Linked DNA regions of Drosophila melanogaster. The protein of the gene in region 1 interacts with the protein of each later gene in a pairwise test. Each region holds a gene or a part of one and is shown on either strand. Other genes may lie near its edges.

What was found. Proteins that work in one complex are often made in the same cells at the same time.
Region 2: the proteins of Liprin-gamma (region 1) and CG7236 interact in a two-hybrid assay, tested with the Drosophila melanogaster proteins (one large-scale study listed by BioGRID).

Annotation. Positions count from the first base shown.
Region 1 is NT_033778.4:22,350,910-22,358,373, reverse strand, and holds the start of Liprin-gamma (Liprin-gamma), read left to right. Parts: upstream 1-3,665; 5' UTR 3,666-3,986; intron 3,987-7,464.
Region 2 is NT_033779.5:5,705,326-5,715,693, forward strand, and holds CG7236 (uncharacterized protein), read left to right. Parts: upstream 1-3,065; 5' UTR 3,066-3,123; coding exon 3,124-3,242; intron 3,243-4,624; exon of another isoform or gene 4,625-4,772; coding exon of another isoform or gene 4,773-4,813; intron 4,814-6,577; exon of another isoform or gene 6,578-6,714; coding exon of another isoform or gene 6,715-6,824; intron 6,825-6,912; coding exon 6,913-7,099; intron 7,100-7,156; coding exon 7,157-8,029; intron 8,030-8,090; coding exon 8,091-8,228; 3' UTR 8,229-8,466; downstream 8,467-10,368. Other genes in the region: CG14007 (uncharacterized protein), read right to left, coding at 10,166-10,368.

The DNA of each region.
Region 1 (7,464 bases):
CTGGTCGACCGCCGCTGGAACACGTCCGTCTGCCACCCACTTGGCATGAGTTGGGGCAATAAAAACTTATTAAGCGATGCTGAGGACGCGGCACTCGCAACTTGCCATAAAACCCGGACAACATGGGGAAGCCCCAAAAAGCGGGGGCCAAAATAGGGGAAAGGGAATCGTGATGGGAGGGCCAAAAGGATAAATGGAGAAACATTTGGCAGAAATGTGTCGTTGCCTTGGGGCAGGACCGTAATAAAAACGAAGGAATAAAACGAAATAAAAATATAAAAAATGCGCATACGCCGCATTGGCTTCGCCTGCCTTATAATAGACATTAATAATATATCGCCGTTTCCGCTCCAGACTCCTTCTCATCCGATTGCAGTGGCAAGTGCGATAAACCGTTTAGCAACATCCGGAAACGGAGAGAGAGAGAGAGCAGAGATAGAGCGCTATGGTCGAGTGTCGCGACTATTGGATACCCGTTAATCAGATGGAGAGGATAAAGATAAAAAAGAAGAAATGAAATGCCTTATCATTTCCATTAAATTGGTTTTAATAGTCAGATTTTTGCTATGTCATGCTTTTCAACAAATCGATCATACCCTTGTACTCAACGAGTAACGGGTATAAAAGAAGGAAATAGTGTAAAGCACAATCCTAGCGAAATTGCGAAATTGCTGCCCTGACCATCCACTCTCTATCTCTGGACATTTACATACTAATTCGATTCATTACTGTCCAGCCAGGGCTGGAATCTTAATTGAGGTAATCAATGCATCTGTAAGCTGATTTAGGTTGAGTGGTTTCTTTGGACCCCAATCGGCTTAAAATTCAATGCATTTTCAATTTGGCATATTCGCATCTGGCCATCCTTGAACTCTGATCGAATTCAATAACAAGAATTGTATAAGAAGTACACGCAAATATTTTGCAATGAGATATTTGCTCATATGCACACACAATGGCCGTGCAGCAACAAAGGCTTCAAAAAGTATTGGGAAAACTTTGGCGACGACTCCCACCCACAGCAGCCCACTGCCTCCACTTCTCCACTTTCCATCTGCTAACTTTTTGCAGTGCCATCTGCGGAAAAGTTTATTGCGATAAATGAAAATAGGAAGCGCACAACGAACAGTTACAACAAGATGTTGAAATAAGTTGTCAAGCCAACGCATCCGGCTGTTTTATGTATTTTCTACTCCCATTTTTTTCCTGCTTTCTGGGCGTGTATAGTTTTCCACTTGTCTGACTGCGGCGGCTGTCGGCGATAAGCGCAAGGCATTGATAAACATCCCCATTCTACGCGGCACCGCAACTCCATTTCTTTCGCAGCACTCCCGTCTCATGTCCTCCCCCCTTTTAGGTGGGGATGGAGTGGATGTCAGGCAGTGACAATGGCTATGCCGTCCCCACAATTGGTTGGCTTGACAAAACGCTGGCCGGGACTTGTAATACACCTCAAAAAAGTAAGGGTGTCCTGTAGTATGGAACATTATCTTTACACCAACATGTAGATGCATTCAAAATGTCTGGAATTTGCTATGATATGTTGAAAGCCCCCACGCTTAGATCTTGATATCATATTATAACGATGCCAGTAGAAATTTAGTTGCTCCTAATGCAATCTTAGATTCTTCTCTCACTGCATCTGGCTCAATTCTTAAGGTTGAGGTCGTCGTAGTTGATTTTCCGCAGCTCTGCAGGCGGCAGGTTGGAAAAGTGGGCAAGGGGAAATGGAAAAGCGGGTAAATGGAGGGTTGCTGGGGGCGGCGACTGTCAGTGGGACACTTGGCTGTCAATGGCAGTTGAGTTACGACAAAAGGGAAGAATTGCATGGCAGAGACGTTTCCTTCGGCTTCCATGGCTTGTGGAATTTTTCACGCGTCACCTGTGGCAGATAGTGCTGCTCCCGCCGCCTCTTCTCGGCGGGAAGTCTTCTGTCTTGACTTTGTCGAGGGAGTCGGAGTTTTGCCATATATCCTAGGCCTTTTCCGATGGAGGAGCCGAGTTGAATGAACTAGCACCGTAATCGATGCGCCTCCGTGTGTGCGTTTGTTCTGCCGCCATTGTTCGGGATATCAGATACACATATCCTGGCACCGATGGCGGCGTCTGCCAGGAGAGCCACAAAAAAGGCAGCAGGATGGGCTCAGCAGCCGCTTGACATTCATTTGATAACATTTTATTAGCATCAGATGATGGCGGTTATCTCATGGCTGCACTTCACATTTCCGCAGGCAGACAGATGGCAACCACAATGATTGTCAGTCAAAATAAAGACAAACAGTGGCCGTGTCCATGAGTTTGCGGATGCGAAGGGTTCGAAGGGTGGGAGGGGTATGGCAGGAGGATGTATATAGGATATATCGGACCGATTCAGTCAGGTGCAAAGCCCTCTACGTGGCTGCGGCTAGTCACGTCTGCCACTTGTGCTTATGAATGACACTACACTCTCTGGCACGGAGCGGTAAAGGGATTTATCCGGTTCAAGTCCTGTGAGCTCAGGATAATGCACTGCAATGGCTCTCATTCGGATTACTCCACCCTTACGCGTTGATATGGCAATCGATTCCGCTTTGAATTGCATAGTTGCGATGCGGGAAAATAGGTTTGTTTATCAAGCCAATCGAAAGGTAGTAATTGAAAGGATTGCAGAAGAGGCAAAAAAATAACACTTTAATATGAAACTCAGTTATGAATCAATGTTTCCAGTTAAATGTAACTGCAAAGCTGAATCAGAAAGCCACTTTTATCACAGCTGTCAGAATTGTTAAGCCCTTTCAAACTCAATTAAACCATTTAGACTTTAAATGAAAATGCCATTTTCGTTACAATCACATTGAGAGAACAATAATATCAATTTTCATAGATGAGGCGATGCGATTTCTTTGGCTGAAATATTTTGCACGTGTTCATTAAATCTTTTCACAATAATTTGAGCATTTGCTGTCGGGATCATATTATACATGTTCAGCTTTGAGTGCAATACTCACATACTTTCGATTCCTTTGTCAATTTTTGCCGCAAATGATAGTGTACAGTCAGATTGTTTTACAATTAGTAGGAAAGCATGCAGACTGCAGTTGTCGTTGGCAACCTCAAAGTGCGCAACATCCCCACATTTACCCACTTCATCCTCATTTATTGTTTTGAGGCTTTTCATATTTTGAAATAGTAACTCCCCGCCTGTCGCAAACAGTTGCAACCACTGACATTTTTGGTCTTGAGATATTTCATTAGAGTAAAATCGGGCTGTGTGGCCCAACCACACAGTCTGTAAATTGTTTCGTCCAAGTTAAATTGCGGGGAAAATGTATTGTGGCGTCCAAACAAAGTACAATTTATATTGCTGATTAATTGAAAACGGAGGTGGTGTCGTTGCGATTCAGAGCCAGAGCTTGACCTTCGTTTTTGGGAGCGGAGGAGCAACAAGGATTCGAAAGGATTCTTGCGGGACGTTCGGATGGAAAACGTAAACAAACACTTGTCCAAGGCAAGGCTAGGTCGGGTTTTCGAGAGATCCCTGGTGGCTATTTCTCCAGCGATTGCGAGCTTTCGCCAATGCGCATGGGCGCTCTTGTATCCTTTTTCCCATCTCGCTGTGCCTAAGCTTTCGTGACGTCACATGGACGCCGCCAAAACGGCACTCGGGCCAAATGCCAAGGACTCGAGCTCAGTGCCATTCGAGTGATTCGCCCAGTGAGACGTTCCAAGCGCCAGAATTGAATTATTCCCCACATATCCTTCGGTCTCGCTCTCGTTCTCTCTTTCTGTCCTGCTCTCTTCGCGGAGAGTGTGTGCTGGTGTGCGTGTGTGTTTCAATCAAAATCAACAAGAGCATAGCCGAAAAAACTTTCAACCAAAGCGTGTCTAACAAATTAGAAAGCCAGAAAAACCAAATAAAAAAAAAACGAAAATAAAAGAACCAACATTGACTTCAACTGTTGGCCACGTGGTATGTGGCCTTCTTGTTTTTTCAGTCAGAATCCGAGGTAAATTTTTCGAAAACAAACAGACAGACACAGCATCGCCGAAAACAAGAAAAACACTGCGGAGAACAATCGAATTTTTGGGGGGGAAAAACCACCGCCAGTAAAATTCGGTCAATATTTGTGCGAGTGTGCGTGGAGTAGGGAAATTTTTTGGAACTTGTGTGTCACTCTGTTTGTTGTTGTTTCTGTGCGCAAATATAAAGGAAAACCAGCGAACAGCCAAATAGGGAAAAATCTGTGTCAGTCGCGAATTACGCACTATCTCATTTGGGAATTTCGGGCCGCTTGGGTTTTGTGAATGAATAATCAAAGTGTTTGCACGCATTTTTAAACCGATTTGCGCCTGTGCAAATCTTTATTAATTTCCGAGTGGTGTTCTTACTAATGACAACATCAGTAATTGCTGCCAGACACGAAAATCATATTTACCTGCACAGAGAGAAAATGCAGAAACCATTTCGTAAACGAAATAGGCTTACTTCTGACATATATCAAAGGAGCTGTGACTGCACTTTTAGTAATAACTTTAACTTGGTAGTGGTATGTTTGGTGGTTTTGAGTTTTTCAAGAAATCAAAGCCATATGGGTCAAAAGTATGCCACCTGGCTGAATAAATCAAAAGGAACCGGCGGAGAACCGCGGGCGGTAAATGTTGCATATTACGTGAGTTTTTACCACGACCATACGTTACGCATACGCCATGTGGGCCCCCTCCGAAGGCAGCAAAGGCTACCAACAGTGCGTCGCGTAATAAATCGCACGACAATAACTCACGGCACCCAGGAAGGGGGTTGAAATGATGATGGGGATTTGGGACAATAGAAGGGGTAAGCAACCAGAATCGGGTCGGGCTGTGACCAGGAAAGTCGCAAACTGAAAGCTATTAAGCCGAAAGACTTAAAGACTTTTGCTACCCACCTCCGGGGACGGTCTACTCCAGCCCCCTCCCCCGCCACAATTTCCCCTCTCGCTTCAAGCCAAACCACGCACACACACACACACACACACACACACATCCGTTTCCTGTGACAAGGAGCAACAACGAAAACTCACTTAGCCATGCTGCCTCAGCCTCTGTGTTCGCCAGACTCACTTGACATGCTCTTAATACCAAATAAAAAACAAGAGCTCAAGGACGCTGAGAAAACACTCCGTTCCACTTTTGCACTGCGAGTAAGGCCAAAACCCCCAACGCCCCGGCCACGCCGTCATGTGTAAATTTTTAATGTTACCAAGACCCCCAAATGTAGGTTATCAAATTGTGTTCAAGTTGTCTTCGCCAAAAGCGCCGTAGAAAAAGTTTTAGCGCTCGCCGTTTCCCCGGTTGGAAAACATTTTAAATGATTTTGTTGTCGGCGGTTGGTTGTTTTTCGTTGTGTTTCCCTTTAGACGCCCCCTGCCAATTGGGTCAAGCATTTACATTTCACGCCTAGCGAAAAACTCAGTCAGAACTATGCTACTTCGTCACGCCCCCATCCTGCACGCCCCACTCACCACGCCCCACCACCATTCGCCGTGTTGTGCAAGCTCTCCAACGTTCGGTAGTGGTGCATCTATTTAGTCAAATTAAAAACACAAATTCAACTCTGCTCTGCCGGCTGCCACTAATTAATTGCAAACTAAATGAGTTTCTCGGCATAAAACTTTATCCACAGCAAAGCTGATTGCTGTCAGTTTTGCGGCCGAAGGAGGAGCAGCATTCTACTGGCGATGTAGATTGCAGCGAAATCGCTTGGCAAAGAACAGGGGCGGAGATTGGTTTATGTGGCTCCCCTTCTCCCCGAGAAGGAGCCCTGGCTCAAATTGTAATTTGTGCAGCTCCCACACATTCCATTCTCGCTCCATTGAAGTTTTCTGGCTGAGAAAGGGGGGCGAAACCATCGAGTCATACAGGAAATTAGGGCTAAAAGCAAGTGTAAAACGGTCAGCGCAGTGAAAACTTTCTAGCCCGAAAAGGGAAAAATATTGGAAAAAATTCTAACTTTCGAGTCGAAAGTTCACAAATATGTGAATGGAAATACTCAGCATTCTATTTAAACTGCATACGTTTAGACACCTATTTAAGTAACTTTATACGTTCATTTTTAATTCAACTAAAATTGCGTTTGAAGGGTTTTTAAAGGAGGTCAATGCAATTTCGCTCTCTGACATTCCCCTCAAGTGAATGGCTGGGTTTAGTCATCATGTTATGAGTCACACAGCAGGATATGTACGGTCAATGAAGTTAGCCTTTCGGAAATAAAGTGTTCGCTTGCAGGTAATCGAATTGAATGCTGGCTAGCAGACGGCATCCAGGCTCAGCCAGCTGAGCCAGCTCAGCGAGTCGAGTTGAGATGGGCAGGACCTTAATGATGGATGTCAGGACGGACAGGATGACCAGTCACTCACTCATTTGGCATTGAGGGCACTGAGCCATTAAATTCCCACTTGGCGTGTGCGGCGGATTGGATTTCGATGGCTGCTCGCGGCGTGAATCTGTTAATTCAACTTATTAATTTTCATTGAATTTCTCCGTTCGCCACTGTCACAGTCACTGTCACTGCCAATGTCAATTGTCACCGAGTTGTGGCGCCCTAGGGCGGGCATTGACATTATGGCACTTTGGGGTGTGCTCGTTGGTCTGTGGTTTGTGCAATCAAGTCGGTTCGAATGGTTTTGCTCAGCACAAAATACTGCATTAATTTGCATGCATTCTGTAGGCCGACATTCAATCGATATGCCAAAACTTATTGGCCATTTGTTCGGCCAATTCATTTAAATCTTTTCCATCTCAAGCCTTTGATTTATTTAGAGCCTGAGCTCCGGCTCATGGAATGATAAATTAATAAATGTGTGCATTGAATCAAAGGCAACGGCAATAAATTTCAAATATTTTACCTCCCATTTTAAGAACGAAAGCCACAGACGCACACACATGGATACTTGGAATCGCCCTTTCAAATGAGCCTGCCTCCGAGTGCTGTCACACTGGAAGAAGTGAAGAATTTAATAGCCAAGCTGCCACTTAAGAAAGCTCCTGGAGAAGATCTTCTTGATAATAGAACCATTAGACTTCTCCCAGATCAAGCATTGCAGTTCCTTGTCTTAATATTCAACAGCGTTCTTGATGTTGGCTACTTTCCGAAAGCTTGGAAATCGGCGAGCATAATTATGATCCATAAGACTGGAAAAACACCGACAGACGTTGACTCGTACAGGCCCATCAGCTTACTCCCATCTCTGGGTAAAATTATGGAGAGGCTGATCCTAAACAGGCTGCTCACATGCAAGGATGTTACCAAAGCGATTCCCAAATTTCAGTTTGGCTTCCGGTTGCAGCACGGTACTCCTGAGCAACTACATAGAGTAGTGAACTTTGCTCTGGAAGCTATGGAAAACAAGGAGTATGCAGTAGGTGCCTTTCTTGATATTCAACAGGCATTTGACAGAGTCTGGCACCCTGGGCTCCTGTACAAAGCGAAGAGGCTGTTCCCGCCGC
Region 2 (10,368 bases), on another chromosome or scaffold:
CTAATGCCGTTATTTAGTTTTAGCATACGAGCAGCTTTTAAAGGTTATCTCATTTCGGCCATTCTTTTGTCTTTTTGTTGTGCGTTGCCACTGAAAAAAACAATAAAATCGCAACAAAAAAATGAAAACAAATCCCCACAAAAAATGAAAATAAAACAACGGCCGCAGTGGAAGAGAAAAGCTTAAAATGCAAAGCGCATTCAACGCTAGAATATAAATGTATGTGTGAGCACACGTGTGCAAATGCAACGGTACATTTCTGTGTGTTAGTTCTCTGGCATATGCTGGCCGGCATTTGTTATTTGTTTGTGTGTATGGCCGCTCCTTCGTTATGTGTGTGTATTGGTTGGCGGTGAAGTTTAACGGTTTCCCTTTTGCCGTTACTGTGGCAACCGGAAAATGCTCGAGGCGTTGCCAGCCTTAAAAGTGGCTAGTTAAAAGCTTTCGCGACTCTGAAAGATGTGCTGCCTATTCTAGATTTCTAGAAAGCTTTCGTCAAGCCGATTAAAAATATCCTTTAAAAATAAATTATTCACAAATAATTGTCTAATGACTGTAGGTTTTCTTATTTTTTCATATCTTTTAAAATATCATATTTAATAAACAAATTTAGCAACAAGTACACCTTCTGTTACTTTTAAAAGTTTTAAAAGAGCCATAGAGTTTTCTGTTCACTAAAAATAGGTAAATGCCTACTTTTTGATATTATAACTTATTTGTAGTAAGTCAATCGAAGGTCACTCCCTGGTCACGCAAACCTATTCAATCAACGATCGGTGATTAAATGCTTTGAACATTATGTAGATATAAATACCTAGAATAGCAACAGAAACTGCTATCTAATCTTTTCGTAATTGCTTCAAAAGCGATGTCCATTCAAATCCATAACTACTCACACACACCAAGCTAAAATTCCGCTCGGAAAAGCTGAACTAGAAATATTTGAAATCAAAGCGTGAACTAAGCTCAAATTTGCTGTTTGTTTTTAGTGACAACAGATTGACAATGCAAACATAAACAACGGCATGCGCTATAACAACACTATTAATAACCAAATACAAGGCGAGCAACCCTGATTCGGATCCCCATCCCGTTGCCCACCGGGCTTTCTTGCCCCAAAGCGTTGCCAATGTCAACCGTCACGAACACCCCAACAAGCCCACCCCCTGGAAACTCCATTCCATTGTCTTCGGCGTTTTCAATGCCGGCGCACATAAAAATTCCGGCTACGTTTACGGCGTGGACTACGCTTATAAACAAAGTTTGTTAATATTTCTTCGCCAACGGACGCGAAACTCGCCTCGCATCTCGCGCGTGAAAATCCATTTAGTTAAATGCTCGCAGGATGCGGAAATCACTTTCGAGATTCCAGAAATAGTACGGCATTTTAAAATCAATTTTCCAAACAGTTATTAAATGCTTGTCTATGGACAAATGGTTCGGAGAGAAACGTCTCTGGCTGTTTGGTAACCACCTTCCACTTTTGCCCAGAAGGTAAGTCGAACTTGGCATTGCATTGCATTGAATGGTAACAAAAAGTGCTATCCAAACATTTTTTCATTGTTTTGGCCTAAACTTGAACTTCAAGATTGGCGCGCAGATAGAGTGTTGCCCCTGATATTGTTTTGCTTAACGTCGGGCCTTGTGAATAACCAACCCTACAGTAAATAGTAATCATCGTATGAAAACATTGTGTGTCTCTAACTAACATTTAGATACCTTCTTTGAACGCCTTTGAAACTGACAGTTAAAAGCTACTCAACTTACACAAGATCTAACCAAGAAGCCACAGGACCAAAAAGGACAAAAACTCCAATCAAATTGAATTTCAATCAATGCGAGTATATGTGCACGGAAAAAAAGATGCAGAAGAACAAAAGCGAAAAGAGATGAAATCAAGTACAGAGACATCAAATTGCATTGAAATGCGTTCGGAGCTTGGATTTGTCTCCAACATCAACCCACTTACCATCCGAATTCTGACAGGCCAGACAAGCAGCTCTGAAGGAATATTGCATACTTATGGGAACGGATGATGTAGCGGTTTTTAATGCTTTTGATCCAAGCAGACGAAAACCCTATTTTCGGCAAATGTCAACGACACTTGCGTTTTGCTCGAAAGGAACAGAGGGAAATGTTTTTTTGCTGGAATACATATCTGACTGAAATAGAATAAGATATTGCCCATCAGACTGTAAGCAAATGATTGATACATAACACTTGTACTCGCACACTTGTTCATGAGAAGGTTTTTACAAGTCACATACTTTTCTTTGGTAATTATTGATAAGTTGTTTCAGGAGATGGATAGTTATATAATACAAGACAAGTTCATGATCATGACCCAGGACCCAAGGAGCGCAATTCATGCTGTTCTGGTAGCAATAACAATTTGATGTGTTTCATACATTTCCTAAGTTTATTTATGTGAAATTAGTAAGGGTTTTTTAAACTTTAATCAAGTTTATTCACATTGAATTGCCATGATCCCAAGATCTAAACGTTCATTGTGCTCAAAAAATGTTATAATGGGACTGCTTTGCTTATATCAGCACTTTTGGTGAATGGACTTTTCAACAGCCGCGAATTAGAATCGCGTTTTCGGTTTGCCAGCAGGATACTTACATTTGTTTGGCGCTTTCATGGCATTTGACAGTCGCTCTCATTCCCACAGTGGATGCCAAAACTCACAGGTGCCCGCCTCACCTTACATAATTGAATCCCCGCAAGCCGTTTTTTTCCCTCCAGCTTGCACCACTGATTTCGTGTGCCTCGCTGTGGCATGTGGCAAACTCTGCCTCATTCGCCTGCCGTCGCAACTCTCACTTCTCGCATTATGCGCCTGACTCATTTGCATGTTCCTTTGGCTTCCCCCGGCCGCATTTTTTCTGACCCAAAAAAATCTTAAACAATATGGAAAAGCATTGCCGGCACGAGACACGTCAGAAACAGAGCCGGTTTTTTGCACCTGTTTGAGAAGGAATGTCGCTCCATGCATAAAGTATTCATGATGTCCGTTGCATTTGAAATCATGTATCGATAAAATAAATAGACGAGAGACCGTCGAAGTGCAACTTAGTTATCCTGAGACCCTGCAGCCGTACGAACGCCTGGCGACGTGCAATGTTTCACAGCTCATCGTTCTACTTGCCGCAATCGTTACAGAACTCCTTCCTCTACCGCCTCATTCAGAAGATCCAGGTGTGCAATGAGCCGGACTTAGTTGAGACCAGGCAGTACAGGTGGGTCGATTAGCGCCGTTCGTGGCCCTAATTAGCTTTACCAACTTTTTGCGGAATGAAAGTGAAATGCAGTGCTAAAACGGGCAGAAAGGATAAACTTTTCCCAATGACATTTGAGTCGCTGCTGGTGGAGGTGGTGTTGCAACGGCCTTGGCCTTTCATTTCACACGCATATGCCTGCTTCGTCCTCCAAGCGCTTCAGCTCTGCTATCCCCGTAAGTAGGCAACGCTTTTTGCACAGACCTCGCACAAAGTTTGGGACACTCGGTGCGTGTGTGAGCATTTGGCATTAATGGCTTGTTATTTATTGCATTTTACGCTTGTTTTCCCAAAGGCCACGTCAACACAACCCTTACCAACAACCCGCAATATTTATATGGCCAAAAGGTTCAGGGACTTTACAAGGCGATGTTAGAGGTTTTGCTAAAAAACTTTACTTACTTGACATATTATTGCTATTTTAGCAAGTACAGACACTTGAAATAAACCCACAAGGCAGTACGAATATTAAACATCTAAAAATGTGTGGTTTCTCTAAAAATAAAGACCATTCAGTCTGACTTCAGTAAGCTAAACTCGTATAAGTAAATTTCAATTTTAAGTATCTATTTTAAAGGCCAGCTAAATGTTCCTTTTTCTTAAATAGAAGTGCTTTAATTCTCCTCTCATTCTTATATAATACCCATTACTAAATAAACTTTAGCGCTGCTATATCACACAAATACCGGGGGTCAGTATCAGAATGGTAAATAAACGAAGAGCCATTAAGCTGGGAAGCATTGACCCCAACATTGAGTGCAAACATCATGACAACGACATGAACAAATAATTGCTATGCGCAAACAACTACATAGAACAATAAATACAAAAATATAATTAAAAGCCACAAGAGCCTAGAATAAAGGTAAAATCAAAGTGGGAAAGGTTAAAGTGCTTTCGCGGAAAACAAAAGCTGTCAAATGTATAAGGCAAGCAGATGGTGTTTAAGTTGGAACGGGGTCGACGGGAGTTCTCAGTAATTATGCAAATCAGAAATCAGTGGGGTGCTGTCACTATACTTTCATACACTTCTTAAAGGTAAATTTCAAGGAAATTAGTTACCTAATACACCACACCGGTCAAAGAATTCGTTTTATATACATATACCTTACATATTGCTTATACAGTATGCGTGATTATGGTTCCTAATTTATGTTCGACGCTCACCTTCGTGTTTTTCCACTGCACTTAAATGCATTATTAATGAAACACGCAAGACCAAAACAAACAAAAACATAGGAATCAAAGTCGCCATTGGCCAACGCGGCGTATGTGCGATGTCCGCTGATGCAACCGAGCTGCTACCAACTCCGTCGCTCTCCAAACTCGTTTCTAGCCAAAAGCACCTCAGTCGATTGCCGGCTCTTAACGTCTTCACATCGTGTAGTTCTGCCAAAAAGTTATAGGGCTCTTTGTTTGGCCCAAGTGAAGGAAACACGGAAACAAACCAAATATAGACAAAAGGTGAACTGGAAAAAATTCGATACTGCAATGAAAATGTTTGAGATTTCTAAATTGTTTTCCCTACGAAGGTATGAGCAAAAAAAAAAAAATAAACAAAATTAAAAAAAAAAATTAACATTTATTATTAACATCATAACTTATCTTATTTGCCTGTGAACTGTGAAAGTTTTAAAGTTTGGACAGCTTCGAAAAGCAAACACAATAAGTGACCCCTGGCAAGCAAATTAGCTGCACAGCAATACTTAAGTTATTCAGCCAGGAAAAGCCATCCCTAATACTGTTATAATTGCACAGCGATTCAAACATTAATTAGTAATAAGGACCCCAAATAGAATCCACCCCCGAAGCGCCCACGTAGCGCGTAGTTACGACAAACTTATTGCACTGCTGCACCAGTTTAGCTATATGGAATCCTCCAGCAATCTGTGTCAAAGAACCCGGTTCATAAGCGACTCCCCTGCCTTCTCCTTAGACAGACGACTCCAGCAGGTAACCTCAAAATGTGTAGTGGGAAAGGAGCTGGGAAAGCTGGGAAAGAAGCACACCTTGAATGTCTTCCGGTAGTCGCTAGAAAAAACAACAAAGGGGAGAAACTTCTTGAACAACTTTGGGGGCAACTGCGCATGGATTTGGTTTTGTTGTGGTTTTTTGCTTTGTTAACTTTGGTCGCATTGCTATGACATTGGCCAGTGGGGTGGAGTCGACCTGGTCGACATGGGGCACAGGTCGGCTCTAGCGTTTCCCCCATTCGGTGCTCAGTTGTCAGACAAAACATACGTCCGCTCAAGCGGTCTACCCATTCAAATATTTATTGATCGACAGGCTTGGCGGAATATTCGGCGCATGGTGTGTATCGTAGACTTCCCCCAAAAGACTTTAATCAAATACATATATATATATATATATATGTCCTATTCATTCACAATTCAATTACTAACTCTAGTGGCAAATACGTCAGATATTAGCCAGATGGGTGCCTAGGTAAGTCATCTGCTTGCTACGTTTTCGGTGTCCTGTGTTGCTTTCATTTATTTGTGCCACCAACCAGCACCACCATCATAAGCACACAAATATTTAATTGCATGCCATGTTTATGACCCACACACATGTTAGCAAAAGATGCAGAAAGGCCCAAGCAGGGTTCAGTTACCCCGTTTAAGGTTTTGTGGCTGGCATTGAACTGTCAACCCGTGAAGTCCTCGACCAGACCGGTAATGCCAATTTCAAAGGAGCACGCTCTCGAACACCTGGGGCTACAAAATCGATTTAGTTTTCGTGTTCACGCTAGAAAGTTAATTACCCTCGGTTTCTAATCTAATACTAATGGTACAATTCTGAATGAACAGAATAAGTTATTTTAATCTTATTTTCACTTAAACTGTGTAAAAATGTTAGAATTCATTAGTCCATACACTCAAATCAATGACAATTCCACATAGGGTTATGTTTACTTGGGTCAAAAAAATCGATTTAGTTCTCGTGCTTATAAATGGCAGAGTAGTAATGATTAGGTTGTGTATCTAATGGCAATTGAATGTTTACAATATCGATTTATTTGATTAGCTATAATAGCTGCATTTAGATTGGAAAAAGTTAGCAGGAAGAAGTTTATATTGATGTACTTCGGCACATTTTAATTTATTATTATTACATTTTATTTAACAGTTCCTTTGGCCCACCAAAATTAACGTTTAAACCAAATAACTCATTCTAAAAGTTCTCTCATTTGTTGTTTGTTTCATTCCATCGAAATCGACTAACCAAATCATACCGAATTCGTGAAACCAAACCTCCAAAATGTTCTGGACATCCCCAAAAAAAAACCAAACCTATTCAATATAATAACTTGTACATATATGCATACACATCAAATCGTAAGACAGCCCTTGAAATAATACCAGATCGAATATCAAATCACTTCATACTCGCTCGCATATCCTAGAATGCAAGTTCGCCCCTGTGAGTCCACATGTGTTCGTGTCTGAGGTATCAAACAGAAAAATTCTTGAACATTTTGTGTGCCCAATGCAAAGCAATGCGACGTGCAAACATCAAACGTGGTCAATGTTTGAGCTTAAGGTAAAATCCACTCCAAACTCAAACTGAACGTTAGCCGCAATCGGGGTGGGAATTCCGGAATAACTCATACCTGTTAACTTCCTTGCAGACCACAAGGTAGCAGCAAAATGGATCGCTATGAGAAGCTCAGTCGGCTGGGCGAGGGCTCCTACGGTGTGGTCTACAAGTGCCGGGATCGGGAAACGGGTGCTCTGGTGGCGGTCAAGAGGTTTGTGGAGTCCGAGGATGATCCAGCGATTCGTAAAATTGCACTGCGAGAAATTAGGCTACTGAAGGTAAGCCTTAATAACTTAAATCACTTGAATCACTTAATCACTCGAAATTTCCTGCAGAACCTGAAGCATCCGAACCTTGTCTCCCTGCTAGAAGTGTTCCGACGGAAGCGACGCCTCCATCTGGTCTTCGAGTTCTGCGAGCTGACCGTGCTGCACGAACTGGAGCGGCATCCACAGGGCTGCCCGGAGCACCTGACCAAACAGATCTGCTACCAGACCCTGCTGGGCGTGGCCTACTGCCACAAGCAGGGCTGCCTACACCGCGACATCAAGCCGGAGAACATTCTGCTGACGGCCCAGGGTCAGGTGAAGCTGTGTGACTTCGGCTTCGCCCGGATGCTCAGTCCGGGCGAGAATTACACGGACTACGTGGCCACCAGATGGTACCGGGCGCCGGAGCTGCTGGTGGGCGACACTCAGTACGGCACTCCGGTGGACGTCTGGGCCATCGGTTGCCTCTTCGCCGAGCTGGTCCGGGGCGAGGCCCTCTGGCCAGGACGTAGCGATGTGGATCAGCTCTATCTGATCCGCAAGACGCTCGGCGACCTGCTGCCGCGCCACATCCAGATCTTTGGACAGAACGAGTACTTTAAGGGCATCACGCTGCCAGTGCCGCCGACGCTGGAGCCGCTGGAGGACAAGATGCCGGCCAAGTCGCAGCAGAATCCCCTGACCATTGACTTTCTCAAGAAGTGCCTGGACAAGGATCCGACCAAGCGCTGGTCCTGCGAGAAGCTCACAAAGCACTCCTACTTCGATGACTACATCGCTAAGCAGCGCGAACTGGAGCACGTCAACAGCCTGGAGGCGGCCAATCTCCGCCAGCAGCAGCTCGCCTCCCAGCAGTTCATGCTGGCCACGGCGGCCCAGCAGCTCCAGACGGGTCCTGCTCAGGCGGCGGCCATCGCGGCGGCCCGGGATAAATCAAAGGTGCGTACGGCAGTCCTCTCAGAGGATAATTCAATCTATTAGTATATCCTTTCGATTACAGACTTCAAACACATCACTACCGCTGCTGCCTAGCACGCAGCATCATCATCACCCGCATCAAGATTACGTGAAGCTGCAGCCCCTGAACAAGAATGCAAACCTGCTACATCGCACCGAGCATCATCTGCCCACAATTTGAGTTTGAGCAGAGAATTTGTAACGAAGTAATGTCCTTGAGCGAGAATTGAGCCCGAAATTTAACTTATTTACTGCTGGGAATAAATGTGTAAAAGTAATCCATTAATATATCACTGGGTGGAACGTTCGTAAACACTTGGCAACTCATCCCTTCGGGCCGAACTGAATTAGTAACTAAGTCTAAAGTGCAATTTTCAGCTGTCATCAAATAAAATGTGCTACATAATGTTTTATTCCATAAATTTTCAATTCCGTTAGTCCATGAGATTCGCAAATCACTCCAGGTTAATCTTTAATTCACTTTCCAGTTGCGTCCTGGCTCGAATCCTTTTCAGCCTTGCACACACACGTACATCGAATTAAAAATCCTTGCAGCATGTCGACTAGTCAAACGGTTACATTCCACCTCCAACTCTCACCTACTTGTTGAGCCTGGTCTGGATTACACATTTTTACATCTATTTAACCAGGAGCGGATTGGGAACAGCGGAGCCCTTTTAATAGAACATTTATAATTATATAATGTTATAAGTTCGTTTACTTTATATTTGATTCAATAAGGTCTGTTTTGCAGTCCTTTGATATATATACATGAACTGCTTGATACCCTCTTTTGAGGCTCCGCTCCTGAAGTATTTCATCGTCGACAGATATCGCCTCCTGGCGTCCATACCACGTTTTTTGGCAGCTTAATCCAGTGCTAAGCACACGGCAGATAATCAGCGACACGTATCGGCTTTCGTGTATCCTAGTCGTGTCCCAAGGACTTTGTTGATGTCCTTCAAGAAGCGTCAGAGAAACGTGTGCCCCAAAGGATGGTGATGAAAGGATTAGTGAAGCTTATAGCGCGCTGAGACTATTCTAAGGCGAAGCAAGGGCAGCAAAGAAAAAATAATACTAATGTTTGCAACAATATCATGAGTTGAAGCATCGAATTTCAGGCACTATTAGCTTATATCAGCTAATATTTGGAATTGCCCAGTTTTCAGTATTTTTCAGCAGAATGCAATATTTTCCCAAAAACTTTTAATTAAATTATAGAAAAGTTGTGAGAACAGAAGCTGCATTCCCACAGGCTTCAATGGCAGCAGTCAACAAAAGTGTCAACACATATCGCTGAAATCTCCTGGGCACCAGTCATGTCCATGTGGCCCGGATTTTTGTTGGCAGATGCTCAGCAGAGAAACGTTGAGAAAATAGAGGAGAAATTGAGAATATCATTGGATGCCAGCCGGGCATTCCTAGCATTATCCACTGCGACTCATGCTCCATTGCCAGCGTCACCAATTGTTAAGTATTTTGATTTTTGTCGTTTGGCCAACACAATAGAATGGTCCACCGAATATCTTCATCCCTGTCTGCAGCTTGCCTGCTCTTTCGGGCTTCTGCATCCTCCCCTTTTTTTTCCGGTCGCTGTGCACTTGGTTGGGAATGTAAAATGGGAAAAGCATTTGTAAGTCGAACCGGCCATTGAAGCATCCCGCTTCCTGGTCGAGGATATGCAAAGTGTCTCCCAGACAGAGTTGCATAATCTGTAGTGTCGTTTATGCAAAGTGCCCGCCAAAAGCCCAGGCAACAAAATCCAGGGAGATGGAAACTTTCATCTTGCTGGGTAGTCAAGGATATTGTTGGGATGGAGCTTGCTGAATTGCATAGCTCGGTAAAGTGTTGAGCAGGGGAATCGAAGACTTATCGAATAAGCAGATAGGGCTTTTTATATTCACGCTGTTTGCTTTGGGAATACAAGTTTCAAAATTGTGGTAAAAAAAATGTTCACAGAAGTTACAAAATTGTTTAACGTTTGTGATCGGATCTTATGTCTTACTAAGTTACTAAATAAATTTGAAAGTTTTCAAGTTTGATAAGACAGCTAAAAAGAGTTACAATTCGTTAGTTTTTATAGATTAACTAACACTTAACCATTCCTGTGATCAGTGATCAGTACCATCGATGCAACTGGTTCTCCGCGTAGCGTCGATTCAGCTCACTCTTGCGCTGAACATCGCCGCCCACACCGTTGAGTAGCTCGTTGGTGTGCCAGTTGCGGTAGACGGACGGATCCGGCTGGTGGTCATCACCGGTGCTCAGTGCCTGCAGCTGCCACCACTTCAGCGGTGGCTGCGGATAAGCTGCCTGCACCG